4 linked regions of the Tamandua tetradactyla genome follow. The protein of the gene in region 1 interacts with the protein of each later gene in a pairwise test. Links are inferred from orthologs where the notes say so. Each region holds a gene or a part of one and is shown in the gene's direction. Other genes may lie near its edges. The genes, in order: PSMF1, FBXO7, RBFOX2 and BEND7.

The links.
Region 2: the proteins of PSMF1 (region 1) and FBXO7 interact in binary tests that used the Homo sapiens proteins (3 or more experiments, as listed by UniProt). The link is inferred for Tamandua tetradactyla from reciprocal best matches to the Homo sapiens genes PSMF1 and FBXO7.
Region 3: the proteins of PSMF1 (region 1) and RBFOX2 interact in a two-hybrid assay, tested with the Homo sapiens proteins (2 studies listed by BioGRID and IntAct). The two-hybrid records come from large-scale screens. The link is inferred for Tamandua tetradactyla from reciprocal best matches to the Homo sapiens genes PSMF1 and RBFOX2.
Region 4: the proteins of PSMF1 (region 1) and BEND7 interact in a two-hybrid assay, tested with the Homo sapiens proteins (2 studies listed by BioGRID and IntAct). The two-hybrid records come from large-scale screens. The link is inferred for Tamandua tetradactyla from reciprocal best matches to the Homo sapiens genes PSMF1 and BEND7.

The regions. Positions count from the first base shown.
Region 1 is NC_135327.1:23,019,701-23,027,589, forward strand, and holds the start of PSMF1 (proteasome inhibitor PI31 subunit), read left to right. Parts: upstream 1-4,874; 5' UTR 4,875-5,058; intron 5,059-6,973; 5' UTR 6,974-7,058; coding exon 7,059-7,082; intron 7,083-7,298; coding exon 7,299-7,442; intron 7,443-7,889. UniProt on the Homo sapiens protein: Plays an important role in control of proteasome function. Inhibits the hydrolysis of protein and peptide substrates by the 20S proteasome. Also inhibits the activation of the proteasome by the proteasome regulatory proteins PA700 and PA28.
Region 2 is NC_135333.1:24,545,967-24,553,723, forward strand, and holds the start of FBXO7 (F-box only protein 7), read left to right. Parts: upstream 1-4,746; 5' UTR 4,747-4,815; coding exon 4,816-5,111; exon of another isoform or gene 5,112-5,309; intron 5,310-5,345; exon of another isoform or gene 5,346-5,475; coding exon of another isoform or gene 5,476-5,512; intron 5,513-7,757. UniProt on the Homo sapiens protein: Substrate recognition component of a SCF (SKP1-CUL1-F-box protein) E3 ubiquitin-protein ligase complex which mediates the ubiquitination and subsequent proteasomal degradation of target proteins and plays a role in several biological processes such as cell cycle, cell proliferation, or maintenance of chromosome stability.
Region 3 is NC_135333.1:28,467,136-28,474,467, reverse strand, and holds the start of RBFOX2 (RNA binding protein fox-1 homolog 2), read left to right. Parts: upstream 1-4,320; 5' UTR 4,321-4,398; coding exon 4,399-4,581; intron 4,582-4,681; exon of another isoform or gene 4,682-7,332. UniProt on the Homo sapiens protein: RNA-binding protein that regulates alternative splicing events by binding to 5'-UGCAUGU-3' elements. Prevents binding of U2AF2 to the 3'-splice site.
Region 4 is NC_135333.1:49,223,925-49,231,341, forward strand, and holds the start of BEND7 (BEN domain-containing protein 7), read left to right. Parts: upstream 1-4,415; 5' UTR 4,416-4,482; coding exon 4,483-4,543; intron 4,544-6,681; coding exon 6,682-6,765; intron 6,766-7,417.

The DNA.
Region 1 (7,889 bases):
ACCCGGCTCTGTGAGCAAGGTGGAAACTATGGGGTTCTGGGCGGGGCTGGGGTTTGCGTGCCAGAGGGCTAGACCTCATCCCGGCTGTGTCCCTGGCATCCAGTTGCCTGGACCCGCCACTCCCATGCTACCTGCCCACTAGGACTTTTCCAGAGCTGCTTCAGCCTGGCCAGCCCGGCAGCCGCGGAGCTCCCCACAGACTGGAGGGAATCGAGAAGGTATCATCCAGGAGGTCAGCTGGGCCAGGCCTCCTAGAGAGAGAGGGCCTGACCGAGGTCCAGTGAGAGTTAGAGATCTACTCAAGCCTTGAAATGAATCACAGGTGTTGGAGGGAGCAGACAGACCTGGGTTTTCATTCAGTTTGCACTTATTTTCAGAGTGGCCTCGGGCCAGTCCTGCCACCTTTGTGAACCTCCCTAATCAAAGGTTGTAATATCTCTCCAATATCCGGCTGCTAGGAGGATGAAGGAGCAACACACACAAACAAAGAAGGTGCCTAATCAGCACCATCCCTCAGCCCGTGGCTACTCCCAGTGAGAAAAAAGAGAGAATAACAGCTTTTTATATGCACAGTCCCATTCTAAGCACCTACCTGTGCTGGCTCATTTCGTCTTCACCATAACTCTGGGAGGTGACAGCCGTATTTACAGATGAGGAAACTGAAACCCAGAAAAGTTGAGAAACTTCCTTCTGAAGACATCTGGTTAGAAATGGTCCCAGTCAAAGTCTGGCTTCGAGGCCCATCTCCAGACTGATGGACAAAGAAGTCTGGAATCTCAGGGCTGAAAGAAACTATAGAAAAAAACTGGGTATAACAGTGGAAACCTGTAGCACACATCCCAGCTGTCTGAGTCTAGCCTTCTCCTTGCCTTTGGGCTATTTTGCACCTCCTAAATTGTAGGTAGCTGGTAGATATGCAGAATCTTGTTGGGTTGAATGGGCTTCTTTTCTCATTGTGGAAAAACTATTTTTGTCTCCATCTATCATTCAACTTCTTTACTCCTATAAATTTGGGCTTTTCTTACATTTTTATCTTTCCTTGGAACTGGACTGGTTTCCTCATTGTTTAACAAATAAAATCAAATATCAGACATGTTTGTTTTTAGATTAGCGTAAGAGTCATGATTTCTATCTTTTTCAGAAAAGCATCATTTAAAGAATCTTAGAGAGGAATGCCTGATGCTTGTGGCAATAGTCCTGGAAAGCCTCCTCCTCTAGCCCTTGTTCTCCTTCAGTGCTCAGGACTCAGTCCTGCCATGTGTATTTCCTAGATGATTCTCACACAGATTAAGTATCACCCCTCAGTTTACAAATAAGGAAATTAAGGCACAGAGAGGCAAAGCAATTTGACCAAAGTTACACAGCAAAGCTAACTCTTCTAACTCTCCCTCTCTCTCCCTCTCCCCACTCCGTGTATGTGTGTGTGTATGTGTATGTGTCTTACCTTCTGGGCCAGATTATAAATCCAGCTCTGACTGGAGCCTGAAGAATACATTTGGAAATGATTTGGTGCTTGATGGGGGAGTCAGATGATGCTGTGGTTAAAAGAGCAGGTTTTGGGGCAGGCAACAGTGGCTCAGCAGAGTTCTTGCTTGCCATGCCAGAGACCCGGGTTCAAATCATGGTGTCTACCTGTGTAAAAAAAAAAAAAATGAACATGTTTCAGAACCCATGCTGGGTCACTCAATCTTGAGGTACCCAGGCTGCTGCATTCCAGTTGGTGGGGTCTTTGGCCAACCAAATCCTAAAAAACAGTCCAGGCCTACATGGCAGCCCACTTTTGAACCTTTCTATATTTTTCATGTGAGAAACTTGCCCAAGGTCATATTCATTCTAAGTGATGGAGCCAAGACTTGAATCCCAAAAAGTCTGACTTGAGACCTTGCATGCTGAAGCCCTCAATGTCTGAGTTTTCTCAGCTGTGTGAGTCTGGGCAAGTTACTTAACCTCTCTGAGCTACTTAATCTCTCATGAGAGTCATTAAGAAAATTGAATTTGATAATGGGAGCCAAGTGGCAGACACATGGTAAGTCCTCAGTACATAGGAGCTGCTACCCAACGCCTCATTATCTCAAATAAGGAACCACCTTTATATGGGCTCCTGCCATATGCCAGGCAAGGTGGACAGCACTTCACTGACATCATCTCCAGGAAGCCGCCCAGCAACCCTTGGGAGATACTGTTGCAATCCCTATTTGACAGAGAAAAATAATTTGTTTGCCTGAAGCTGCACAGTGAGTAAATGATGAGGCTGAGATGTAAACCAGGTTGCCTGACTCCATTATCTAGACACTTTTCCACTCTGCAGTCATTAATTTATTCATTCATGCAACAAATGTTTATTGGGCACCCGCCCAATGGGGCATCAGGGCTGGAGCTAGACGTGGGGGCAGGGAGGGCAGGACAGAGGACCAAGTCTGTGAAAGGATGGATACAAAGATGCCTGCCGAGGGAAGTGGGGGCCCTGGGAAGGAGAGTGGCTTCAGAAACCAGCAGAGCAAACCTTCTGTGTTCCCTAGGACTCTGGTTCTCTAGGGCTGCATCTCCCAGGGGTCAATGATGCCTAGAGCTAAAAGGAGGCTTGAAGATTCTGACTCATTGCGGACAGAGAACTGCTGGAGAGCTTCCAGTCTGGGCCGCCTCTGCACTACCTGATGGAGTGAGTCCGGGTAGAAGGAGAAAATGTTTATTGGGCACCTCGCCCAGCTGGGCTGCTCTCTGTGGGCATTTGGGTGGGCCCAGGCGCCCTCTTGTGGCCTGCCTTTGCTCTGCATGGGCCCTCCCTGTGTCCCTGCAGATGGAGAGTCTTCCCATGCCTAGATCTTTCTCTGTGCCAGCTTGGACCCTTTTGCCTACACCTTTCCCACCACCAGCCGAGGTCTGAAAAACTGTCCTAAGTTTTGGCTCTCTCGCCTCCTCCGAGTACACCGGCACAGACACATGGTAGCAGCCTCCCTAATCCCTTCCTGGTGAATGTGGAGCTACTAGGACTCATGACAGGTAGACCTAAAATGGTACAAGTGCTTTGGTAAAGATCGGCAGTTTCTTTTAAGCATACACTACTACCATATGTCCCAGCAGTTCCACTCCTAGGGGTTTACCCAGGACTAATGAAAGTATGTGACCACACCAAGACCGGTGCATGCCTGTTTATAGCAGCTTTATTCATAATAACCCCAAATTAGAAACAATCTAAATGTCCATCAGTAGGGGACAGATAAACTGTGGTGCATGTGCACAATGAAATATTACTCAGAAATAAAAAGGAAGATTCTGATGCACACAACAGCCGATGACTCTCAGGCACACTGATGAAAAGAGCCAGCTACAAAAGAACACGTGTCAATCATGGAGGGGTGCCTTGCGACTCCCTTCATTAAAGAAATTGCCCATCAGGTTTGAGAAGCGCAGCTAGCTAACAGCCTTAGGTTGCAGCAGCTTTGCGATAAAAGGGGAAATCTTGGAACTCTGTGGGAAATCTTTGCACTGGAGTTTTCTACTCCCTGGGCAGGCTGAGACTCTCAGAAATGCACCAAAGTCTGAGGTTCCTTCCCCCTTGTTGCAGATTGAATCATGTCCCCCCACAGATACGTTCAGGTCCCAGCTCTGGTCCCGTGGATGTGAGCTCATTTGTAAACACGATCTTTGATGATGCTGTTGGTTAAGGTGAGGCCAAACAGAATCTGCGTGGGCCTTAATCCGGTATGACTGGAGTCCTCAAAAGCAGAGGACGTGTGGACACAGGAAGGAGGAGGAGGAGAGAGACGGCCATGTGACAGAGGCAGAGACTGCACTGTGATTGCCGGCAAGTCACCGCCAGAATGCTGATGACTCTAGAGAAAAAAAACATGACTGCCAATGCCTTGACTTTGGACTTTTAGCCTCCAAAACTAGGAAACAAGAAATTCTTGTTACTGAAGTCAACCAGTATGTGTCACTTTGTTACAGTAACCCTGGCAAACTAAGAACCACCGCCCCCCCCCCCCCAGCTCTGCTTTCAGAGGTGTCAGCCTGCACGCTGCAGTGAAGCTTCTCCCTGTCTGCTCCTGCTCTGTCTCCCCTTTTACATTCACAAGCCTAAGACCCGATCAGTGTAGCACTGCTAACTTCATCTGGGCCTCTGCTTCACGAGGCCCCCAACTGACATACACATCTCATCTGTATGAAATCCTAAGAGGGGCAAAATTAACTGATAGAGACAGAAAGCAGATCAGTGGTGGCCTGGGCCACATGTCAGAGAGATCGACTGCAAAGGGACCTGAGGACACTTTCAGAGCGATGGAAATGTTCTTTATTTTGATTGTCATGATGAGGTCCCAGGTTTATCATTTGTCAAAACTCACCAAATTGTACAGTTAAAATGGGGGCATAGTATTGTTTATAAATTATACTTCAGTAAAGATTATTAAAAAAAAAATCTCTTCCTTCTGGAACTATCTAGAGGGCATGGTGGTTACATGAATTTTTGCATTTGTTAAAACTCAAGAGAGCTATGCATTAAAGAGGGAAGGCTTTACGTATATAATTTATAGCTGTAATTTTAAAAATAGAGAAGAAAAATAATGAATCAGGAGAATAACAATTTTTCCTGATTATCATGTGATTTTTATTGAAATAATCGTCATCTAGAGGAGGGAGTGTTAAAAAGTTATCTGCTCCAAGTGTCAAATACGTGTCTTGACAGTACCAGTTTAGCCATTTGGTGATTAGCAAAGAACAGGATCAGTCCCGAGGGCTCCCTGGAAGAGGTGAGGGGGTCAGGCTGATAGGAGAGGAAGGAGGCCCACCTCAGCACATTCTGGGCCCTGCTCCCCAGCTCTCCTCTTTACTGTTTCCAGGGAGACAGGTTGGAATCCCCACATTGCTGTTACTCGGCAACCTGGAACTGGTGGCTGTCGCCCCACCCCCCAAGTTCCTTCCATCATCTGGGCTCCCGTCTCAGACATGGCCTCTGCGCTGCCCAAATAGGGGGGCCCAGCAGGGCAGGTGCCTTCCACCTGCTCCCATTCCCAGCCACTCCAGGCCTCCCCGGGCAGACTGAGACTGTTGCTGATGTAGGTAAGTGCACAGAAAGGGCTGGATGGGCCAGGGGCAGGTCCCAACCTTTGTCCCTGAAGAATCCTCCCACCCATTGAAGACCGCAGGGCCCAGGGAGGGCTGAACAGGGGCCCGGTGCTCAGGTGGACTCACAGCCCAGTGTGGGAGCAAAACTCACCTTGTTCTCTCAGGACACAGATGCCCGTGCCTGCTCTGTGCTGGCCACGGGTCACACACCTGACGAGGGCATGGCTCACCCTGAGAGCAGGCACAACAGATGCTGCCGCGCCCCACTCACCCCTCAGCAGTCACCCCAAGAACCAGCAGTTGCTTCCCGCGAACTGTGCAGCTCCACATGTCCCCAGGGACAGCCCTGCACCTGTAGCAGACAGGGGATGAGTGAAAAAAAGACCCCAGTTCCCTCGCCCTTAGGTGAGAAAACTCTGAGCTGTGTGCTGTACCCATGCCCATGGAGGCAAGGGGTTTAGGCACACACCCTCTCTTGGCTGCCTTCCCTCCCCTGCCAGGCTTCCCTGCTCCCCCATTGGTATTTCCTGGAATCGGCTCCTAAATAAACCACATGTACTCACACCCCTGTCTCAGCATCAGCTTCTGGGAGAACCCAGATGAGACAAGGAGGCTGGTGTATAACAGAGAACCGAGTCCTGGGAGGTGCACTCTATATGACTACTTGTGTGCGAAGTACTGGCATACCAAGGGGCTGGGTGCTGGAGGAGTTGGTGGGAACCTACCCATGCGCAGGCAAAAGGGGGTTATTTTCTATGTGGTAGGCAGAAAAGACCTTTTCTGAGGCTGGTAGGAGGTGAGGGAAGGAGCTGCTCGATATGAGGCAGCAAACCATGCTGATGTTTGGGGAAAGAGCATTCTACAGAGAGAAGAGCTCATATGCAAAGGCTTGGAGAACAGAACATGAAGAAGAGGGAAGCTGGTAGGAAGCCAGGCGATTGGCCAATCCTGTGATGCTGGCAGATCAGACCGGGAGGAGGCAGTGGTCAGATTTAGACCATACTTTGAGGCTAGAGCCGACCAGCTTTGCTGTTGGATCAGATGTGAGTGTGACAGAAGGAAGAGAGCCAAGTTAATTGCAGCCAGGAGTACAGAGGATGAGGGGACAGTGGGAAGAGATGAGGTCTGAGAAATACAGGGCTGAGAGAAGACCATGGCAGGTCCCTGCAGACCATGGGAGGACTTGATCTTTCCTTTGAGTGTGATGGGAGCCCTGGTCTTGAGCAGAGGAGGCCTGTGGCCTGACTTATCTTCTAACACTCTCTTTGGCTGCAAAGTAGAGAACAGACATGAGGGAACAGGGAGGGAACGGGCCAGAGCAGATGCTGATAATCTAAGTCATCCAAGTGAGAGATGCTGGCATTTTACAGCAGAAGACTGATTGGGACAGAGAAACTAAATTTATTTAAGTAAAAACAGTGAGTGGATTTTAAGAAAATTGTTAAGAAAATTTGAACTGTTAAATACCACAAAATAAATGATTTGAAGTTTGGAGGCTCCAGCTCTGAGGAGAGCAGCTGTGTCCCCTTGGGCATGTAGCTTCAACTCTGAGCTGTTTTTGTCGTCTGCAAAATGGGGACAATATGGAACAAAACTCGTACATTTGTTAAGAGGATGAAGTAAAGATTTTTGGCACAGGATCTAGCATACAATAAGCACCTACTGGGTTCTAGTACCATCGCTGCCCCTCAATGACTGGCTGTGTCACTTTGACCAGATTACCTCTCTGTGCCCCAATTTTCTCATCTATAAAATGGGGCTATCATTAGTTGTAAAGATTAAATAAATGAATACAAGTAGGACATTTAGAATAATTGTGGCGCGTGGCAAGCAATTGGGCACTGCCCAAGTGTCAATTATTATTATGAATATATTTAAGCCATATCTCCTAACCTCTTCCCCTACCTAGCATATGCCTACCCCATCTTGAGGACAGGAAGTCTGTGGCTCAGTGCAAGGATCCTGAGGCCTGGAGAAGGGGATTCCAGCTTGGAATGGCCGCGCCTCCAGCCACCCAGGTCCGCGCCGGCCGGTTGCTCTCGGGCGGAACCTTAATCGTCGCGCTCCAGTTCCCAGCCGGGCGCGCACACTGTTGCGCCGGCACTCGCAGCTACTTCCGGGGGCTGCGCCGGGGAGGCGGGGCCGGGACGAGCCGAGGGGCCAAGCTGCGCTGTCACTTCTCAGAGGGCCGCGGTGGCTTACAGCGTTCTTGCTCTTCCTTCTCCCGCCCGCAGAAGCCGCCGTCGCCCATGGCGGGATTGGAGGTGCTGTTCGCGTCGGTGGCGCCGGCCATCACCTGCGCGCAGGACGCGATCATCTGCTTCCTGCACTGGGAGGTGGTGACGCACGGCTACTACGGCCTGGGGGTCGGCGACCAGGTAGGCCGCGGAGGCGCCCCGGGGCCAGGGCGGAGGGGAGGCCCTCTTCTGCCCAAACCCGGAGGACCGGAGGCCGGAATCAGAGCGCCTGACACCTCCCTCTCCAAGTCCGGGGCCTGGGGCTCGTGACACTTTTGAAATAGCCTGCAGGCGGGACATGTTCAACTGTCCCAGCCCAGTGACATTTACAACACAGCTGGCACAGTATTATTTGTTAACTCAAGGGCAGAAGCTCCCTTCAGTTCGGTCTTTCAACCCCTCACTCCAAGATTCCGTGGCCCTGGCACCGAGACTTCGGGTGTAGTTCCCATGAGCACGTCTCTTCTACCTGAACCCCTCTCAACTCCTTACTACATATCCTGGACGGGTGGGGAGGGCGAGCCCTGTACACAGAAGCCCTCATACTGGACTTGAGTTTCCAACAGACATCTCAGTCCAGGCACGGGT
Region 2 (7,757 bases), on another chromosome or scaffold:
TCCAAGGAAGGAGTTAAGATCTTAATTCCAAGTATCTGTAGTAGCTAGGACTTAGACATGGAACCTGGGCTCCCTCAAACAGATAAAACTGTATAAATCATTGATTCGAAAGTAATGACTGTGAGGAAACAGGCTCTGCTGGGAGTTTGGCTCTTTATTGGTGCAGGAGGCTGCCAAGGTGCACTGTATTTAATGGTAGTATGGTGGTGGCAGCAACAATGCCAGCTGATGAGACAGTTTTCTCATCAGGCCGTTTCTTCATTGTGGTTCTGAGCTTCATTCTTGGAAGCTTAACCTGGTGTTACTTCTCCAGCCCTCCCAAGAATTCCCTGAGCTATCCAGTATCCTTTTAATTTCCTCTTTTCCTGCTTAATCCAACTGAGTCAGCTTTTATTGGTCACCCTAATGGATAAAGACTCCTAACGGATAAAGACTTTCCAGTGGCCGAGCATACATTCTGAGATGTCTCACAAATTCCTTGCTTAGCCTAAACCTCTTCCTTATTTAGGCTGCGCCCACTTCTGTCCTTTACTCCGGACACACAGAGTCACCCTGATCCTGACAGGGATCCTCAATGCCATATTCCTTCCAATAAAAATTCACCTAGAACACTTCTCCCATACCCACCTTCTCAGAAAGGCTTGATTCATTTGTTTCAGTGGCAGCCTCTGAGCAGGACAGGGGAGTAGTACATGAGATGGCTGCATGTTTCCAGACTACCCAAGCCTAGTCCTATTGCCTCCATTCATGCCTATGAGCTCCTTCACTTCCTTCTAGAGAATCCCCTGTTGCTCACAGTAGTCATTTCTACTGCTCACTGCTAAGGAGCTCTACTGGCACAGAAACCTTCTATATACTCCAATCCTCAGACTGTGCTTGTGTCTATCATAAACAAGACATTTTTTAGGTTCCACTTCAAGAGTTGATTCACTCAAGTGTAAGTCCTGCAAGGGCAGGAACATGTCTTTTTTTTGTCTTTGAGTCTGCAGCTGTGACCATCTGGCACAGAGTAGGTGAATAATAGGAACTTACTTTGGTGAGTGAATAGCAAATTGTGGACAAGTGCTGCCATCTACAGGGAAAACTTCTGACTCTTACAATGTTTTGGAGGCTATCCAGTAAAGGTGAATTTTCTCCCTCCTCGAAGTTATCATCATCATCATCGTTGCTGTCATTAGATCCTCTGTGGTGGCCCGCCTCCAAGATGGTCCCCAAATGATCCCTGTCTATGATGTATTCATGCCTTTGGACTGTCCTTCCCACACTGAAGGGTTGGTCTGTGTGACCAATAGAATGTGACAGAATGATGGTATGTAACTTCTAAGGTCTATATACTCCAACCCTCAGATCATAAAAGACATTGTGGCTTCTGCCTCAGACCACCAGGGATGAGGGAGACCAGCTGCCACGTCATCAGTATACTCAAACAGCCCTGTGGAGAGGTTCATGCATCGAGAAATGAGATTTCCTGCCAACAGTCACGTTAGTGAAACATCTTGGAAGCAGATCTCCAGCCTGAGCTGACATTTCTCACGACTACAGCCCTGGTCTGCATTTTGGCTGCAATCTCATTAGAGAACTTGAGCTAGAACCACTTAGCTAAGCCACCCCTAAATTCCTGATCCATGGAAACTGTGAGATAATGTTGTAAGCTGTTAAATTTGGGGGTGACTGTTACACAGCAATAGATTACTAATATACCCTCTAACACAGATTGTTACCACTAATCAAGGCTCTTTTTTTTTCTCTAACAAGAATTTGTTGGCTCATGGTTTCAGAGCTGCTTGATCAAGTTTGCACAATGTTTTAATCTTCTTCCTATTTATACATGCATTCCTTAGCTGAATTTGACTTCCAGATAAACACCTTAGGTCTGAATCTTTTTATTCCCCTAATTAGATATGCACCCTTTGCCACTCCCTTAGCTGGACGCTTGTTTCTTTACATCAGTCAAAATGAGGACAATATATTTTGCTTAATTCACAGGAACAGTATGAAGACCAAAAGAAAAATGTATCTGCATTTTCTCAAAAACTATAAAAGCTTATATGAAATAGGAGAGAGCTCTAATAATTTACCTGATGCCTTGCCAGGTCTGCTTGTGGGGAATTGTGGGTGTACAATTATGCCTGTATGTAGGGGAAGAGTGGCCCTTTACTAAGATATTTCAGGCTCATACTATTATCACCATCCCTTTACTAATGAACTTTCCAAGAACTTGGAAAGCTGAGTTTCCATTGTACTGGAAAGTCATTTCCCCTCTCAGATGTCCAGGTTAAAAAAAAAATCCTTCAAGAAATTTTATATGCATACATAAGTAAATATATGTTTACATATACCCATAAAAACATGAATGCAATATTATACAATTGTTCTGCAATTTTTTATGTTAAGAAAACTGCAGAATCATTGTATATTGGATCTTACATATATTATCTAATATATATTGGCTTACATTATTGTTTTATTAGCTTCTTAGATTTCATTGTATACATGTACTACAATTCAACCAATTTTCTGTATATGAACTTTTCTTTAGAGGAACAGGCTATACCATGTAACATTTATAGAAGGCATTTAGCATAGTGGTTAGAAATTTCAGTTCTATTTTGAGACAGGCAATGACAATATTGCTAGCTGGGTGTCCTTAAGCTATCCAAGCTTAAGTTGGTTATCCAACTGAAAAGCCAATCAAGAGCGGCCATCTCCCAGAGCCATGAAGACTAAATGAAATTATGCATGCAATGTATCCGGCATAGAACTTGGCACACAGGAAGCTTTCAAGAAACCCTTTATTAGTGATCCTTGAAAAATTGCAACCCAGCCTATTAATGCTGCTGGGTGTTTTACTGTTGCGGTTGTTAGCAACTGAGACCAGTAAGAGATTGTGATTTCATAGACTGAGGAAGTCTATAGATTGAAAATATTTTGAGCGTTTTATCACAGTGTACAGTACTATTGGTACTGCTTTTTTCTCCTTCACATCCTGAACCTCTGAAGGTGGGCCCTGCATCTGGGAAATTGAGGGAGTGAGATTCCCAGATTTCAAACTGTGCTGGGGCAGAGTGCTTGGAAAGTAAGGGGGCGTATCTCAGTCCATCCTCTCTTATTGAGTTTATCTGTTGAATATATTAAGCTTTCATACAAGCTTTAGTTTTATTAACTTCCAAGGCAAAAAGAGTTTGAAAAACCATTTGGGTTGATTCATTAATTCTTTCCTTCATTCACCATGCATTTCTTGAGCAATTTCCAAGCCCAGATGACTTCAGATGTCTATAATCAAATGGGGGCATATAATCCAACAATTACAACAGTGTCCACCTTATCCCATGAGTTTTTTTTCTTTTTCAAGCAGTTTTATTGAGACATAATCATACACTATACAAATCAATCCACAGTATACAATCAGTGGTTCAGAATATCATCGAGTAATTGTGCATTCATCACAATAAATTTTAGAAAAAAAATCTCATACCCCTGATATCCCACTATTATTGACCCTTATGAAATATGAAAGAATATTTTTATACTTTTAATTATTAATCACAGACGTCATCCACCACAGGGTTCACTGTGTATACGTCCTATGTTTTATCCTCCAGCTGCAATTTTTTTATTTGTCTTTGCACTATTTATCATGCACATCTTATAATAGTGAATAATAATTTTACCAATTTACCCTATTCCTTTTTGTGTCTGTACAGCATTTTATCATAGATATATCATATTTAGCCATTTCCCTTTGGTAATTCATTTCCAGTTAGTTTTTTCGTTTTATTTTTTTCTTTCTTAATTAGAGAGGAAAGTTACCCCATGAATCTTAAGCGCTGTAATATCGAACTTCTTACAGCTACCCTGAATATGCCTGCTATTTGGCTTTTTTTTTTTTGCATCTTTTTGTATACACCATTGCTTGCAGACTCTTGGAAAGTTCCCATTTATACTTTAAAATACAATTTAAATACACTTGCTAACGCCTTAAGTTCCAGTTAACCACTTCTGTATCTTGTACTTACTTCCACTATTGCATTTGTTATATGCACTATAACATTTGTTTTCTATTTGGTGAGAGCAGGGACCTGCCGTAAACTCTTCTGCCTTCCCAACTGTGGGTGCAGGGTCAGAAGGACATTATACAACAGGGCCTACACAGTATTTATTTTTAAGATATTCATTTATGGTATAACATATGCTAAGGTCAACACTAGGCGGTAAACAAAACAAACTCGGTCCTCGATCCACAAAACTCATGTTCTTGTGTGGGAAAACGCCAATACAGAAATTAGCAAATTAAAAGAGAATTCCAGATGATAAATTCTAAGGAAATAAACAGCGCGATACAGCAGTTACTGGGGAGACCAAAAATGACAGGGCTTTGACATAACGTTATACCATTTAATTCTTCAGCGCTGCGGACCCACAAGAGGAGGTCGCTACCTGGTTTCGCTATACGGCTTTTCGGAAGGTGCCACTGCAACTGGGCGTGGAAGACCTGATAGTTCACCACGCAGGAAAGGAGGTAAAAACTGGTACACACGTCCTTGGGAAGTGGCACGTTACAATGTCCACAGCATCATTTTCAGCACTGTTTTTCTAGGCACTTCTGAAAGGAATCGAAAAAAGCCACGTAAACTAACAAGCCTAGATCCCAGCGCCTTGTCGCAATCTGGGCGCTTGCGCAGTGTGCTCCTCCAGGGTTGCGCCCTTGCGCGCCGAGTCACCGATCGGGAGTCCCGGAACCGCGGAGCTGGGCGCTGGCCGCTGGCCGCTGGCCGCCAGCTGCCGGCTCTCGGGGTTGTCTCCAGGGGGCGCCCTATGGAGAGGCGGGGCGTCCGCCCTTGCGGAGTTTTCTTTCCGTTACGCCTCAGCACCCCCACAGCTCCGGAAGTCACCGTCCGGGGCCGCTGCGCGGGACGGGAGCTGTTCGGCCCGTCTGACGCCACCATCAGCGCCTTCGAGTTGAGCCCCACCAGGCCTTCGGCCGCCGCCATGAGGCTGCGGGTCCGGCTTCAGAGGCGGACGTGGCCGCTGGAGATCCCGGATGCAGAGCCGACGCTGGGGCAGCTGCGCGCGCACCTAAGCCAGGCCCTGCTGCCCACTTTGGGGTACAGGTACGCGGGGGCGAGTCGGGGGCGGAGGGCCGGCTGCGATACGGGTGTGTACTGCGGGGAAAGTGTACTTGGGTATTTTTTGGGGGGAGAGTCCGCGCGCGTTGCGCTCTAGACCGCCCGTGCTCCTTGCGGTTGCTGGGCGCCGCTGAGTGCTCCTCTAAGGTGCTCAGCCGTCAGGGGCGGTCACGTTAGTGTCCGCTCTCCGGGGGCGTGGTCGTGCTTAGGCGCATCTGGGTCTGTGACGCGCCGAGGCCGGGGCAAGTTCGCCGAGGAAGGGCCCGGGACCAGGGCGGGAGTTCGCTAGAGGAGTAGTGAGCGGGACGCCGGGGCTACTGCGGGCGGGGGGTCCCGGCTCCAGGAGCTCATGGCTCAGCCTGCCGGCGGCTCGGATCCCCTCCAGGGTAAGGAAATCGATTCCGTCTTTAAAGTAAACGAAGCCATGGCTAGGATAGAATGGAAAATGCACACGATGTTTGCATTTAAAGTTGGAAATTCTGAGTTTGGGTTGGGTTAACCTGTCCATACTATAGGGCGTTTAAATTCAGTTTCTTCAGCTGTTGGGTGTTTCAGTGATAAACTTTTGGGAAGAATACTAGTAGAAGTCAAAAATCTGCCCTCTATCATAATTCACCTGTTATCTGTACTGCAGCTGTAAAAGCCGTAATAATTATTTTTAAGAGTAGGTTGAGCATCTGTGTGGCAGCTACGTCGGTGAGCATTTTCACTTATCCACTGCAGTTTTAGAAAGTTCAGCGTGCAAGCTTGTTACAAATCGTTTAATTTTCCTGGGGGAGATTTTGCTTGTTTGCTAAAACAGAGGTGAACTTTGGCCTTAGGATGACCCTGCAGAGTTTCAGTTTTCCAACAGTGAAGTAGAGAGATTTTGGTACTAATTTATAGGGTTGCTATTTTGTTTTCAGAGGTATTTTTTTTGGCAATCATCTGGTAATAGAGGGACAAAGTAAGGAGGCTTCTTTTCGAATATTGAGCCGGTGAATTTGAAATTTATGAGTTTGCTAAACATTTTAAAAAAATATTACCTGGGGGCTTTTTAGGTGAATTATTCAAAAAAAAAAAAGAAAACTTTTATGTTAATTTCATTGAAGCGGCTTATTTCCTAAGACTTTTTTAAGCTTCTAGTTTATTTTTAGGGAATTCATTAAAGTTAGGCCCTATTATGAACTCCTCACTCTTTCATTCTTCAGATTAAGACATTATTAGATTAAAAGTAAGCCTGGTTTTCTCCAAAGTAAAAAAAATGAGGAGGTATGGTAATAACTTTGAGCATTATGGTAAGTGACGTGTCTGTTGTTATTTCTTGGTATTAAACCTAAGTATTTTGGTTCCTCCTGTCATTACCATAAATTTTCACAATGAACTTTTCTTTTTAAGGTATTTTCATAAGTATGTATAGATATTTCTTTTAAGTAGGTAGGGCAATCTTGAAAGGATGTGAAATTCAATATGAATCTACCCGAGAGCCTAAGTTAGTTTCTCTTTCAGGTTTGTTTTCACAATTGAGGCTGGTTGACAGGAAACAGTTTAAACTGCAACTTGTGAAAGTAAATTCATTTTTTGGAAAGTATGTTCATTTTATAATAAACGAGCAGTGTTAAAGCATGTACAAATGGCAGGTGTTATTTTTTAAAAAGTGTCTTCACAGAGCAAAGGGATCCGAAATTGTCATAAAATATCTTGAAAAAGTCTGGAGTTTCTAGTTTCATTGCCTGTTTAACTTTTGAAATGTTAAACTAAAATTATTTTTTGTTCCTGTCTATGCACCATTTCAGAAAACAGAATCATTTTTAACCCTCTCCCTGGAAAACTACATATTACTTCAGGAATAGCTTTTTCTTTTTTCAAGGGGGCAGGGAAGGCTGGCATATTTCTTAAGTGCTTTACCTTTTCTATGAATAGAGACTAGATGTTTGAACATGCATTGTACTAGATACTGTTAAAAAACTTTTGTTGTGACAAATGATCCATAAACACGAACAGTTCATGAGGTGTTTTTCTTTTCTCTGCCAAAGTTGGGATGTTGTTTTTCTGGGCAGCTGGCAGATTCTGAACATTTTGTTTATCAAAGCATTTTGAAAACAGCAGCAGAGCTGCTTGTTTTCTGAGAAGCAGTGGTAGTTTCTACTCACACTGCTAGTAAATAATAAGCTTAGTAAGTTGCTAACTTTTTGCTAATAACTAGTAAACTTCTAGTACTTTCTCTACAAAATACACTTTTAATTGGTAAGAAGAAGTATGTTTGTGTGTGGAAGAAAAATGAATTATTTTGAGCACTTTTGAAAATATGCTGCATTGTAAGAAAGAAAAAACAGAATAGGATTTTCAAAGAACTTCATCCTTTGTTAACCTCTCAAAAACTTAATGAAAGAGGTATTATTGGCTATAACAGTCTTATAAAATGTTTTACACTTTTTGTTAATTATCACCTCTGTATGATGAGACGATGGTTATACTCACAAGGTCAGATAATCGTGATGCACAGAGGATGGAGAGTTTGTTGCTTCAGGCTTATTTGAGCTCTTAGGTTATTTAGCAGTGGGTTTTTGAATTTGTACTGTCTTCCATATGAAAGACATCATAACTCATCATCAGTAGAAAAGAGGACCTGTACCTGCCATCAGTAGTGGG
Region 3 (7,332 bases), on another chromosome or scaffold:
AAACAAGGACAACAGGAATAGTACTAGGAGCAAAAAGGTCTAAGTTACCATTTATTAAGTGTTTCTATGGGCCAGATGTCATGCTAAGTGTTTTACATGCATTATTTAATGCTCAGAAGAACTCCAGGGGGAGATACTATTATTATCTTCGCTTTACAGATTCTATCAGTTAGAAGTTGAGTTTGGCTGCATGTGGAAAACTACCTACAGAGGCTCAATCAAATGGGAACTTATTTTTCTCATACAACAATAAATTAGACGTAGGCAGACTTAGGCTGTTATGAAGGCTCTGCAATACCATTCTTAGTACGAGCTCTTGACCTCATGGAGAAAAGATGTCTGCTGTTTTTCCAGTCTGTGTTCCAGGAAGAAGGAAGGGTGAAAGGCAAGAGGCAAAGGATTAAGGGCAAAAAGCAAAGAGCCTTTTCTTCCCATGGTCTTTCTTATTAATTAGGAACAGTTACCAGCTTCAGTGACTTCTACTTACACCTCCAAGGCCAGAGCTGTGTTACATGGCCACACTTAGCTAATAGGAAGCTTGGGAATTCAATAGTCGTAAACTGGCAGACTCCTGCCCTGAACACAAATGGGGTTTCAATAATAAGGAATTAAGAAGAGAATAGATAATGGGCTGGCTGCTATCAGTGCCTGTCAAACAAATGTAGAAGCTGGGCCTCAGAGAGGCTAAGGATTTTGTCTGAGCTCAGGTATATGAGGTCAGATCTAACCCATGTCTATTTGACACAAGAGTCCGTGTTCTTGACCACTAGGAGGGATAAGCAACTTACCATGATGCATTGCAACTGTTTTTTTTTTTTTATTTGTTCATCTCTTCCTTCCCTAGACTGTGAATAAATTTTATGGTACCATGATATCCTAGACACGTGCCCATATTTCTCAAATAAATGTTATCACTGTAGTCGTTTTTGCAGCTAGAAATTCTTTCTAGGAAATATGTTTTGTCTCTTCCCCTTTAATATTTTATAGGCACCTGTCTTTAAACAGGTAGTTTCAGATTTACATAAAAGAAATGATATTGGTCATTGTGCTGCTCTGGACACACATGGCCTCTTGCACTATTGTAGGCTTCTATTCTCCATTTTCTTAATGTTTGTTTATGGGGCAGACTCCATTTTCCCTTTGTTTTGCCTGGTCATTCAAACATTTCTATACTGCATTGCTCTATTTCTTAGGGATTTGAGAGCTACTTGAATAACATAATAATTTGAGTCATAGGCAGTCCTGATAGTAAGTCTCATTTCTTGCAGGGTTATTGGGCAGCTCAGGAAGGACTTAGCATCATTTAGATTTCAGTATTTTGGTAAGAAGGTAGGGAGGGGAGAAGAATTCTTTTTTTTTGGAAGTGTTTTTCTTTTGTTAATTTTTTTAAATTTAAGAATACAAATACACTTAGAACCACCAAAAATGTATATCTTACTTAGCTTAACCGTAGGCATATTTAAATAAAGTATCCATATAATCATTATAAAGCCTGTGTTTGTGCAGTAAGTTTCACAAACCAATTTAAAATTGAGGCAACAAGGAAAAAGGGAAAAAGAATTCTTAAGGCACCAGTTCAGTAAGTAAAATTTTCAGAAAACCAACCATTGATGTCTCTAGGTTTAAAAAAAAAATCCATCATTGTTTCACAGACCACCAGGAAACATCCTGATTTTTCTTCAAAGATATAATACTTAGTTGGATGGGATCAGGCCCATCTGCTCTAGGGTACTGTCAACAGAAGACCCCTGACTTAGAATGGGGATGTCTAATTCAACTCAAGTACAAATTTTTAGGCACTTGAACTTCCAACTTGATGGCCCAAATGACCATATAAAGACATGTCTGGGCTTTTATTTCTAACCCCCTGGCCCCCTGGCCAGAAGCTTAGCAACACTAAATAAATAATATGATAAATAATTACCACCTATTAAACAGTTATTATATGGTAGGCTGTGTGCTAAGACTTGTACTTGTTTTATTTAACAACAATGTGACTATTATAATTGCCATCTTACAAACGAGCATTTGAAAGTTTATTGAAAATAAACTGCCCAACATAGTAGTTGCACCAAGGGAAGCTTTGTTCACCCCACCCCAATCTCTAGTGGCCCCACCCAAGCCCCCTCATATAATTAAAACAAAACAAAAACAGTGATGGTCATAGTCTTTGATTTTCACAATGGGCATTTTTTTCACTGTCATTTAAAGTGTGAATAAAATAATAATGGGAATAATAATAGTTAATATTTAATGAATGTTCACTATAGATCACGTCTGTTTGAAGTTCTTAATATGTGATATCTCATTTAATCCTCACAATAATTCTTTGAGGGAGATACTATCATTATCTTAATTTTCAAATGAAACTGAGAGGTTAAGTCATTTTCACCAGGCTTCCTTGTTTTTAAGCAGCAGAACTAAATCTTGGCTGTTGTTATCGATCCATAACACACAACCTTAGTAAAACAATGTGTTTACTGTGACAACACAGGTTCAAGACAAGTCCTCCATTCCTTCCTCCCACATTGGAGGCCTTAATTCCTCCTACATAGAACTTTTTAGTTGCAAAAATACATGGGCACTGGGTCCTAAGGCCCAGTTCAAACCTGGGTTGGTGTGACTCCAAAACAGGAAACTTTACCAGCCCTCTACGATTCCACAATTAGCCAGGTTTAAACCCAAGTCCAAAGGCCAAATTATAGACCCATCTGGAAATGACCCATCTGGAAACCCAGAGTTTCTCAACCTTGGCTGGATAATTTTGGGACGGATAAGCCTTTGTTGTGGGTACTGTCTTGATGATGTCAAGCAACATACTTGACTTCTACCTATTAGATGCCAGCAGCACCCAATTTAACAACCAAAAATGTCTCCAGACATTGACAAATGTCCTGGGGCTGGGTGAGTGGGGAGGGTGGGGAGGAAGGCCAAATCATGCAGCTGGGGTCCAAAGAGGTGAAATAACTTGTTTAAGTTAGGTTCATTGTAAACCTGTAAAGTAGAGGACACAATAGGCAACCCTGGAAAAATAGATGCTGTCCTGGTCTTTACAGTCTGGTAGAAGAGAGATGCTATTGTACAGATACCTCTAATTGCGTAAAGTTGATAAGCAATAAAGTGCAGGCAGCCAGGTATAGCGAAAGAATATGACCTGGTGTCTTAGGATCTGCCGCTTTTTAGCTGCAGGACTTAACCAACCTTCAGATGCGTCATCAACGAAACTGTGATCGTGACAACTACTCTGCCTGTAATCACTATATCGGGTCTATGAACGCATTGTGCAAACTGTTATGCTCTTAGAAACAACAGGTATTTTTATGATTATCCGGAATATGAAATTTGTTATTAGAGTAAATGCTCTCAGAACTGGGGAGAGCCATGTAGTGATGGTCTTATTCCTTGACCTTCCAACCGGAGAGTCTCATTCTTCTAAGGGAGAGGCAGCAGGCTAAGAGCCTTCTCCCACAGAACGCCCTTCTTTCCTAGGGAACCAGTGTGGCGAAACCGGAGAACTGAGGTCACGAATCTCTGCACTAGTCCTACTAGAGAGCAGCGCTAGCCGGCCTACGGGTCTCTCAAGCCCCACCTGCCTTAAGCTGAGGCCCCGCCCCTAAAGGGAAGACTCTGGCCCCTTCGCGCAGATACGACTCCAGCCTCCCTGTACCTCCAAGATCGTTCCTCACCCGTACCGGAGATTCCCGAATTTCCCCGAGCTATTTCCGGTTTTCCTCGGGCGGCCGGGGCGAGGGCGACGGAGATTGCCGAGAAGCACTGGTCCCGCCCCCTCGTGGACTGGGCCGCCGCCGCCGCCGCCGCCGCCGCCGCCCCAGCCATAGCCTCCCGCGCGGGCTGGAGTCCTACATCCAGGTCCCTCCCTCCTTCTTTCTCTCTCCCCGCCTTCCCGGAGCTGCCACAGTGGCGGGTCGGAGCATCCCGGCCAGTCAGCTCGAGCCCCTCCTCCCCCCAAATAAACACCCCTCCCCACGCCTCGGCGAGCCGGACCGCCCCCTTCCTCCCTCCGCGAGGCGTGCGAGGGAGAGTGTGAGTGAGCGGGTGCGGGCCGGTGGGCAAGCTTCGTGAGTGTGAGAGGCGGGGCGGCGCGGCGGGCCAGGAGCGGTGTTGCGAGCGTGTTGGTGGGCGGCGAGCGAGTGCCCGCGGCGAGCCGCGAGCGGCCCGGAGCAGGGCGCGGGGCAGCGAGCCGCGGAGCCTGCGAGCGGGAAGCCGCGACCGCGAGCCGCAGAGGGGCGCCGGCCTGCCCGCGCGCACGCACGCACGCACGCGAGGGGGGCGGGGGCAGGCGCGCGCCCGCCTGTCGCGACAGTCGGGGCCGAGGCCCAGGGGGAGGTGGCCTGTCGCGGGTCGCCCGGCTCCCGGAGGCGAGGGGGGCGCGGGCGGATGGCGGAAGGCGCCCAGCCGCAGCAGCCGCCTCAGCTCGGGCCGGGTGCCGCTGCCCGGGGGATGAAGCGGGAGTCGGAGCTGGAGCTGCCGGTGACCGGAGGGGGAGGAGACGGAGCCGAGCCTGGCCTGAGCAAGCGGCCGCGCACAGAGGAGGCGGCTGCCGACGGCGGCGGGATGCAGGTGACCGCGCGGGACGGGCACCCCGTTATCGTGGGTGTGCGGAGTGGGACCTGAGGGGTGGCTCCAGGCTCCCGGGGCTTGGAGAGGAGGAGGGCTTTCGGGGGTCTTGAGCTGGAGGTGGGAGGGGGGCCGGTCGAGGCCTGTTTGGAAGGTGGGGCGAGCTCTGGCTTGGAGGCGAAGGGTGCAGTAGGATCCTGGTGTGCCCTGGAGAGTCCTTATTCCTGAGGGGACGAGGAGACTGACGAGGGAATAGGTTTTTTGGGGAAATCCAGAACATGGTTGAGATGGATTCCATTTTTCATAGTTTGCTAGGGTGGAGTGAAAGCCGGAAAGCCTGGGTCTTTTGCCTAGAGGAGAGCCGCTGGGCTGAATCGAGGACGAGGGGGCAGGGGTGGAAAACCTCCCGAAAAGGAGGAGTACGTTTTTGGCAGCCCTTGACACATACTGGGATGAGGCTGGGGAGAGGCTTTTGAAGGAGGTGAGTGAAAGGCGAGAAAACTCCTAGAGAGAGCCGAAAGGGGATGTGGCTTAGATTGTGGGTTAAATCAGTTACTCAGCGAGTGTGAAGTGCAAGGAGTTTGGTAGTGTTGTGGGGACACTGTGATACTAAGCCTCGTTAACTTCGTGGAGCATGTTAATGAACCTGAAGAGAGACACAAGAAATGCTTCTGCTGTGCTTTGCCAATTGCATCCTACATAGCCAGGACACGTGAAAGGTCTTTAGTACCCTGAGGATATAAAAGAAAATTTATAGGACTGTTAGAAGGCTGGATTCTGAGTTGTGGACTCGAGGATAAGCTAGTTGATTTAGAAATGGGAAATGGAGTGACGATGTCAGTGTCTTTGTAGGTCTTAGTATTTGGTCTCCATTCAGAAAATACTTGCTTTGAAATGATGGGGCTCAGGTACCAACGATTGTTTAGAGAACTGCCTAATTCTCTTAGAATCATAGAATGTTAGCGATTAGAAGGAACCAGAACCATCATCTTTTCCAGGGGTTCTTACCCTGGATAGATTGAAGAATCCTTTGCAAAATAGTGTACGTATACTTTTTTGGGGGGGAGAGCGTCAATAGTTTTCATCTTTTTAAAATTGTTTATGAAGATTCAAGTCCCAAAATATTTTGACCACCTCATTTTATAGATGGGAAATCGTAAGTCCAGAGAGACAACTAGCAACTTACCTAAAGGTATCAGTTAGCTGATGGTAAAGCTAGAATATTACTTTACCCTGGTATTCTTATTCCTATTCCTGTGTCTCTTCATTTAACTACTCTTGGAAATCTGTGCAATGCTAAAAGACTTCCTGTGTTTTCCTCCCTGCTTTTCAAGGCTCTGCCTGACTTCCTGTGTTGGTGAAGGAGCTGTACTTAGGCCTGGCATGGTTGCTGTATGCTTCTTGGTCTTCTTTGCAGAGGCTTCTTCTTTGCAGAAGTATTTTTACTTCTTTTGGTTTGGATATAGTGACTCTCTTGGTGTTTATTTTTGAATTCGTTTGTTTTGTGTGCCTGCTTTTGTTGCCCATTAGAATTTTGTCAGGCAAAGGGATTGTGAGAAGTAAAAGCTCAGGACCATGGAAAATAATAGAGAGGAATATGGGGAGACTTAAGGTGAGGTGGATTAACATTGGATGGTAAGTTGGGGGACACTGGATGTGGGTCCTGGTGAGCATGTTTTGCTTGATGTGTCCATTCATGAATGTATGTATTCTTTTATTGTTTCTATCAATCATAGTTAATAGGGGGAATCTCCTTCCTCCCCTTTCCTCCCAGAGCTTATTATTGGCCGGCTGCTTTCAAAGTGGCTAAGGACAATAGTATTGAGAAATGGAGTATTGTAGGACCTTTAGGGGTATACAGGGGAAGGAGTGGATTAAGTCCTTTGGGCACAAATGGGCAACTTAGAACTATTCCACAGAGATCCTTTTTTTCTCTCTGGTATTTGTGGCTGTTCTTTATTTTTCACTTCGCACATTCTCAATATGCAGTCCCATTGCAATGTGTCACACAGATTTTCAAATCATCGTTGATGTAGCACCTTACCTTCAACTAGCATGGTTTTGTAAAGATCTCTTTGTTGGGGACTTCTTTTTTCCTTGTAAAATAAAGTGTTTGTACAGAATGATTTCTAAATTACTTTCCAAAAAATATGTCAAGTTTTCTGTCTAGATTGCGAGACTAAATGGGTGAACGTTAAAAAAATGGTATATATGGTTTTCTTTTTAATGTTCCAGAGGAGCAGGAGTAGAGATATCACAGGATAGCTATATCACATGATATTGCATAATTTAGAGCCAAAGGGTACAGAGGATTTATGGTGTCCACTGGGTCCAGGAGAAAGACATGGTCAAGAAAGCTTTGGTGAGAAGTTTGAAACTGAGATATAATAAAGAAGAAATAATATTTATGAAAAGATGATGTTTAAGCCTAGTACTACACTTCTAGGATTTTCTGATACCATTCTGATAATAGTGAAGGGATAATTATTATTCATTTATTCAGTCAACTAATGTTATTGAACAGCTGCTGTGTGCCAGGTTCTGGTTTTATACCTAGGAGACATGGAAGTGAACGAATCAAAGACCCTGCTCTCATGGAACTAATATTCTAATGGGAGGAGATAGATAATAAATAAATCAACAACTTTTATTAGTTAGGTGGTAGTAAATCCTAAAAAGAAAAATAAAGCAGGTAAAGGGATAGAGAATGAGGGAGAGATGGTCAAGAAAGGTCTCTCCAATAGGTGATGTTTG
Region 4 (7,417 bases), on another chromosome or scaffold:
CCTTTTTCTATTATCACTAGTAGAAAACTTTAAATTACATATATGACTTACCGTGCATTTCTTTTGAACAGCAGAGTGGTAAATAAAGATGGAAATTTTCATAATACCATTTCTTTCAGTACAGAGCTTCCAGAAAGAGAGTTTTAAGATTTAGGGTCCAGACTACTTAGTTTTCTAGCCAAATTACTTGTCTTTGTCAAAAATTAAAACCTGCGTTTAATCTTTAATCTATTTGTAATTGATTAAGTTTTAGAATGGTCATATAATAAGATGCTCTGCCTTCATGAACTCATGGAATATCTGAACAGTTTTCACTGAGCTTGAGTAATGTATAGACCTGTGATTCTAAAACTTTTGAGGGCTTTGGATTATTGAGGCAAAAAAATGACCTAAGTGGATCTCCGACAGGACCTTCCGAGATAGCCCATAACACAAAAGCTGTATTAAAAAAAAACCTTACCTACCACTTCATGCAATCTCATATTTATTAAATATCATAATTCATCTTTACTTCATACAATTTGTGTATATATACATTGATGTTATATAAAGTGATGTTTGTGTGATTTGCACAAAGTAGAGAGTAAATAAATCGCTGTTGATTTTCTCTCTGTAAATAGGACAATCCCTGAACGACTGGGCTCTGCAGACCATCTTTGGAGAACCAGATAAAAGGGTCCAGGGAAAATGACTATTGTTTCAAAATATCATTTTTTACAAATATTTTATTACCTTTATCCAAACTAGTCTGTTCATTACATGGAATTCATCTTCCCACTTGAACTGAATATGTTAAGTTGTTAATATCTTCTCCAGGGATTTGTTTCCTGGTATGACACCTTCAATGATTTCATCATGGATTTAGGCTAATAAACTCTCATTTTATGTTCAAAAGCATGAAAGTCCTCACTGTTCCTCAATCAGTATAGTACTTGGCCCTGTGGCTTTGAGGATAACTTTTTTTTTTACAGTTTGTATTGTGAAATATAACATCTATACAAAGGAAAGAAAGAAAAAGCAATAATTTTCAAAGTACACTATTACAAGTAGTCACTTGTTAAATTAGATTTCATAGGTTACCATTCCACTATTTCAAGTCTTTCCCTTTAACTGCTCCAAAATAATGGAGGCCAAAAGAAACATCAAAACAATGATTTAGCAGTCATACTCATTTACCAAATCCTATTCCCTCTGTTATAACTCCTCTCTCTCCCCCACCTCCCTCCTAATCTACAGGGATCCTTGGACAATGCCCGTTCCGACTTTCCCACGTTGAGAAGGGGTGTCCACACTAAAGGATAGGGGAATGTAACTGGTTGATAATCTTAGAAAGGCTGGTCCCTCTGGGCCTCAGGACTGATCTGGCCCAGGAACCCCCGGGAAATTATAGGTAACAGGAAAGGAAACTTAGTTCATGAAACTTTTATTGAGCCCCAGTCCGAGCCTTAGGTGCTCTCAAGATTAAGATTCAAGACACAATAAACAGGTGGGCCATGGTGGTTCAGCAGGTAAGAATGCTTGCCTGCCAAGCCCGAGGACCCGGGTTCGATTCCTGGTGCCTGCCCATGTAAAGAAAAAAAGAAAAAAAAAAAAAAAGACACAATAAACCTCTCTGCCTTTGGTCTTACATAGCAGGTAAAGGTCTAGAGTATATACACTATCATCTATTACCCTGTATTCTGATTCACCTTAGTCCTGGCTATAAGCCTTTGTCTTTATCTCTAATGGAAGGTTGATCTCTTTTTTGCTTACTTTAACTGTTATTGTATGTAGCTGTGCTAACATTCAGGGCTGCAGAACTCCATTTCTGAGTCTTACGTTTCACAGAGTTACTCAAAGTTCCAGGGAAATATCAGTTTCATATGGCTCAATGTCTCAGAATCTAGAAATACACTCACAATTTCAGACTAGGTGTGGTTCCTATAAGGTCTTACAATCTAGGCTCCAAATTTCTTATAAGTATTTTCTGAAAGAGACCATAGCATATTTGTTCTTTTGTTTCTGGCTTATTTTGCACAACACATTGTCCCCAAGGTTTATTCAGTTCATTGCATGCCTTACGACATCATTCCTTTTTTGTAGCCGCATCATATTCCATCACATGTATGTATCAGTTTGCCATTCTGCTTCTCAGTCATCGTACCCTTTGGCTTCCTCCATCTATTAGGCATCATGGATAATGTCCAAAATAAGCAAACCACATCTTACGGTATCCTGACTTGGTTATACAATCAACAGCACTCTCAATTTTAGAGTTTTCTTTGGTCCATAGAGATAACTGACAAACACAGCCTCAACCAAATATCAAATCAAAACTACCCGTTATCGCTTATCCTTTCCTCCCTCTAATTAGTTGCCCCTGGTAGTGCTGTGGTACAGCTGATGTCTTCCTGTTAACTATTGGCCATAGCATGCAATTTTAGTTTTCCCCCATATCCCTCTATTATTGACTCTGTACAATATCAAACCTTTGAAATAGTTCATCTGAGAACTTATTTATAATTGTAGAGTTCATCAGTGGGATGCACGGCACTATACATCCCTTTCACTCATATTCACCTTCAATATGGCAATGTTACTTATAATTCCACTAATTAGTTACCATCACTTCCATGCATTCTTTGAGGATAACATTTTTAAAGGCATGGCAGAAAGGAAAGAAAGGATCCCAGCCAGGGGAACAGAACAGTATGCATTTTCCCTTAAAGAAACATTCAAAACACAGTCAGATTTTCATTACTTGGTTTTAAAGCAAGAGAAAACAAATGGGAGAGAACCAAAAAGGATAGTTGATTTCATCACTTTAATCCTTTCTCCACCTTTTAGGGCTCCCAGGGGTCTAAACTCAAAAAAACCTACACAAAATTTCCTTGGTCTTCTATACATGTTCTGGGGAAAGGGCCCACAGCTTTGAATATCAACTCCACAGACAGTGATCAAAAAGGCTAAGAACCTCATTTAAGGGTTTGCTTTGGCAACTGACAGCCTATTCCCTCTCTTCCAGGCCAGGTACACCAGCCTCCGCACCAACTAATACCTCATGATTTGGGCCCCAGCCTCCTTCCACTGGTTTATTGGTTGGTTACCTTGATCCTCGGTTTTGTTTCTTGGTGCTTGTATGTTTGTGCTAGCCTCCAACTTTTCCTTTCCTTGGCAGTTGTCTCTTATTAACCCAGTGGTTAATAAGAGAGGTCCTTGAGCAGTGGTCTCATTTTGGTGGGATTCATCATGGAACTTACCACATTTATCAACATACCCTGTCCCTTTAGGGCCACGGGAATTTGCCACAAATTCAAATTTGTTGTTAGGTGGCCTACCTCTTTACTTCCTTTATATTTTCATCCAGAAGTGGTCTTTGGTGGGGGGGGAGAGTTACTTGTGAGCATGTTCGGATAGCATTGCCGGGGGTGTGAAATTCTCTCTCATTCCCTCTCTAAAGATGTTGTGAGAAAGAAATGGAGCCTGCAGGGGCTCTTAGCTCCCAAGAGAAGTTCATATAAAATTAATGAAAGGTTTCTATTTACGCCAATCGCCTGGAGGTCCTCAAACCTAGTGGCAGATCTCCTGCACCTGCCCTGACCCTTCCTCACCTCCTCCTCCCTCTACGGCCGGCAGGGCAAGTTCCCTCCCCGCATCCAGCCCCGTGGCTTCCACACCCCTTCTTGTACCGGATACAGAATCGGAGCCCACTCCCGCCTATCCGCTTCTCCTCAATACGTTCCAAACGCTCTTTTAGTTTTCTTGCACAGCGCACATTGGGAAGTTTTTCCTAAAACTTGCCCAGCAACGTGTGCGGGGCCCGCTCCATTCCAGAAGGGTTCTCGGCCCTGGGGGCGTCGTGACCACCAGGCCGGCCCGGGGGCGGTGGACTGCAGAGCTGACCCAGGCCCGGGGCCCGCGTTCAGGGGCGGTCCGCACAGGCCGCCGTCCCCGGGGAGCGCCGCGGCCTCCGCCTCCGCCTCGGCGGCCAGGCCGGCGGGTGCGGGCCCGGGCCCGGCGGTCGAGAGGGCGGCCGCCAGCAGGTGGCCCCGGGGACCGCGGCACCGCCTCCCGCCGCGCCCCTCCTCCCGGGGCCCGCACCCGCCGCCGCCCTCCTCCCCTCGGCCCGCCGCTCGGCCGCCCGCCGCGTCCCCTCAGCGCCGCCTCCCCGGCCGCCGCGTCCCCGGGGCCGCCTCCCCTCCCTCCCCCGGCCGCCGCCGCCGCCGCCGCCGCGTCAGTCCGGAGGCTGCGCCCAGCGAGCGCCCTGAGCCGCCGGCGCCCTCCGCCCGCCCCAGCGCGGCCGCCGCGGAAAGTTCCGCTTCGGATCCGCTTTGAAAAAGGAGAAATTGGACGGGGCCGGGCGTGCTCGGGAGCCGGGGGCGGCGAGGAGGAGGACGGCGCCTCTCCCCAGGCAGCTGCCTCCCGCCGCGACGAGGGCCGACGCCGCTCGGGCCGGCCGCGCGCCTTTCCTCTCCCCGCGGACCCGCGCCGCCCGCCGGCACCATGGAGTTCTCCGAGAGGAGGAGAAGCAGGAAATCGCAGAGCTTCAAACTGGGGAGCCGAGGTGAGGGGGCCGCGCCGGGGTCGGGACCCGGCTGGGGTGAAGCGTTTCGGGAGGGTCCGGACCGGGGTCCGGGATCTGGGGACCCGGGGCGACGCGGACAACCCTGGGCCCCGGGCTCCCTCGGAGGCCTCACCCCGCGGACCCCCAAACTCCCTCCCGGGCTGCGGCTGGGGGCGGGGGCCGCGGGCAAAGTTGGCGGGTGGGGTGCAGGTATGCGAACCGTAAACAGGCCCGAGGGCAGCGCCGGGGGCAGACAAAGCCTGGGCCGGGGACCCCGCGGTGCCCTCGGGGTGCGGTCGTCCTCCCGGAGGCGACGGGAAAGGTACTGGAGGCAGCGGAAGCAGCACAGCCCGACTACGAATTGTGGCCATCCTACATCTTTCCCAGCTCTGTGACTTGGATTGGAAAGGTGTTCTCGAACAGATCACTTACCGGTCAGACAAGTATCGTAAAAAAAATAATAATAAAATAAATAAATAAGATCCATCTAGTCCCTGGCGACTTAACAGGTGTACACCGCAGCCTTTGGGCTTGAGCTCTTTTATTAGAGGAGGGCGAAGTGGAATAGAGCCTTGTCTCTGTCTGTTCACCTACTTGTTAGAGTGTTTATTTTCTTGATGGGACTTTTTAAAAAAATGATGAGGACGAAGCGTAAGAACAGGCTTAAAAATATATCCGTGGAAATGCCTCGTCTCTTCTTCGGCGAGACGCAGTTGACTTTTTTCATTGTAGTGTCCACAGGTTCCAGTATGTTCAGAACCATCCTATTTCAGTGTCTTCTTTGCATCAGCTTGAGGTCAAAACAAAGCCTCAGACGTGTCTACTTTCCCTCTGGTGTCTTATCTAGCAATGGCATCCGAGTACAGAGCAAACCAAACCTGTGTTAGCAACCTCGGAAGGGGGGAAAATTAGAGGACTGTTGCAAGTCATAGAGTTTCTCAAACTAAGCTAACAGTAGTAGAGATTCCACGAAGCCTGCTTTCACTTTGTTTAGAAATGGTTTGATGATAGACATTTCAAAGATCTACTCATGTTTGTTTTCCCTCAATTTTGTTCCGATACTGCATAATGAAAAGGCCTAACATGGTTTTACCTATTGAAAATATTTGGCTCTTTCCTCTTTCTGTGTAATTTTTTTCCCCCAGCAGTGTGGAATACTCAGTGACTTGAACTTTAAAAGTCTCTCCATACACCACTAGCCTCTTGGAGTGATCTGATTCATTCAGGCATGTGGGCTGCTTTATTTGTGACCTCAGATATTGCCTTATCTTAAAGGTGACAGTAGTTCTGTAGAAATTGGCCTGGGAGGATTAAGGCCAAAAAAAAAAAAGGAAATAGCTGTTAAGGCGGCACCTATATTCTCATAGCTAAATGACCCTATTTTTTAGAAATAGAAGACTGCCAAAGCTCAGGAGCCTCTGCAGAGAGGCTTGTAAAATATGTATTTTGAAGTTTGACAGAGCTAGTTTTTCTTTTCTTTCTTTTTTTAACTTATGGGCCTGATTCTTTGCTCTGCAGGTACATTTTTAGAAAATAAACATATTAAAGTGCAGAAGCTGAATGGGAAAGATTCACTTGTGTGAAAGATGAAAATCTTGCTTTCTTATCCAAATTATGCTAGATTTGAAATAACAAATCCGTACTTGTCACGTGTACTTGCCTTTAAGCTGCTTAAAGACTGCGATTTTTCAGATAAACTGAGAAAACAGTGTCAGGCAACCCTGAAGCAATACTGTTGCTACACCTAAAAGATGGGTTGTGGAGATAAGTTTGGAAACCTCCTGGGCCAATGAATGGGCAAGATTTTTCTTTTCTTTATAAACATATTTCTCAAACGAAAGAAAAGAAGTCTAGTAATTAACATTTGTGGGCAAATTTTACTGTGTAAACAGTGATCAAGCAAAGCTGTTTTCTAAAAGTAATGTTTCAACTTTGTGTACTTTCATCAGAATAGGCAAAGTTTTTTAGAGATTGTTATTGACTTTTGTCAACTTCCGTGGTTAACTAGTTCTTGAAAATTATATAAATTAAAACAGAGATTATGATAGTCTAGATATGATGAGAGTCTAGCCTTTAGTGCTTATTTAATATCTTGCAAGTCATTAGAATTCTAATTTTTGGTTGTTTTCTCATCCCAGATTATCACCATGAGGTGTATAAGATCTCAGAATTCAGCAGCGATGTTAATGGGGAGGCCAAAGAGACACAACCCATTTTTTTAGGTAGGTTTTCATGTCAGTTAATTTCACAGCAAAGCAGTGTGGCCATTTGCAATTAGAGGGGGAAAAAAAGATTGTGCTGGAACGGGAAATGTCTGCTATTGCTGAATGTATGACATTCTTTTCAAGACCTTTTATTTTACAGATTGCCAATATATCCCTTATTAACATTGCTAAAAGTTGTAATTTCAGACATAAATGTTTATTAGTGTCTACACACAGTGCTAATTATCACTCACTCTCAGAGCCAGATGCTGAGTGTGCAGTTTCATGGCTCTGCGCTCACCCCATTTACATTGCATATTCGCTGGCATGCTTCACTGGCAATAGTTTGTGTAATTGGGGTATTACATCTTTGACATCTGGATAACAGAAATTCAATTTCCAGGAAGCTGCTATTTGTTTGGTTTTGCTTCTGCCTTGGGTGGGTTAGAGGATTAATGTTCTGTCTTATTATAATGTCCCTTCACCTCTGTGGCCTGCTTGCTAATCCTGCCATGACAAAATTAAATTAAATCTACAGTCAGAGAGCATAGGGAAAATAAAAGTGTGATTGCCGGCTTAACCACCTCTTGATGGTCCTAGGTATCACCAAGTAGCTCTACCTCATTCTTCTGGCTTTGTGTTCATTTCACATCAACTTTTTGGACTGAGA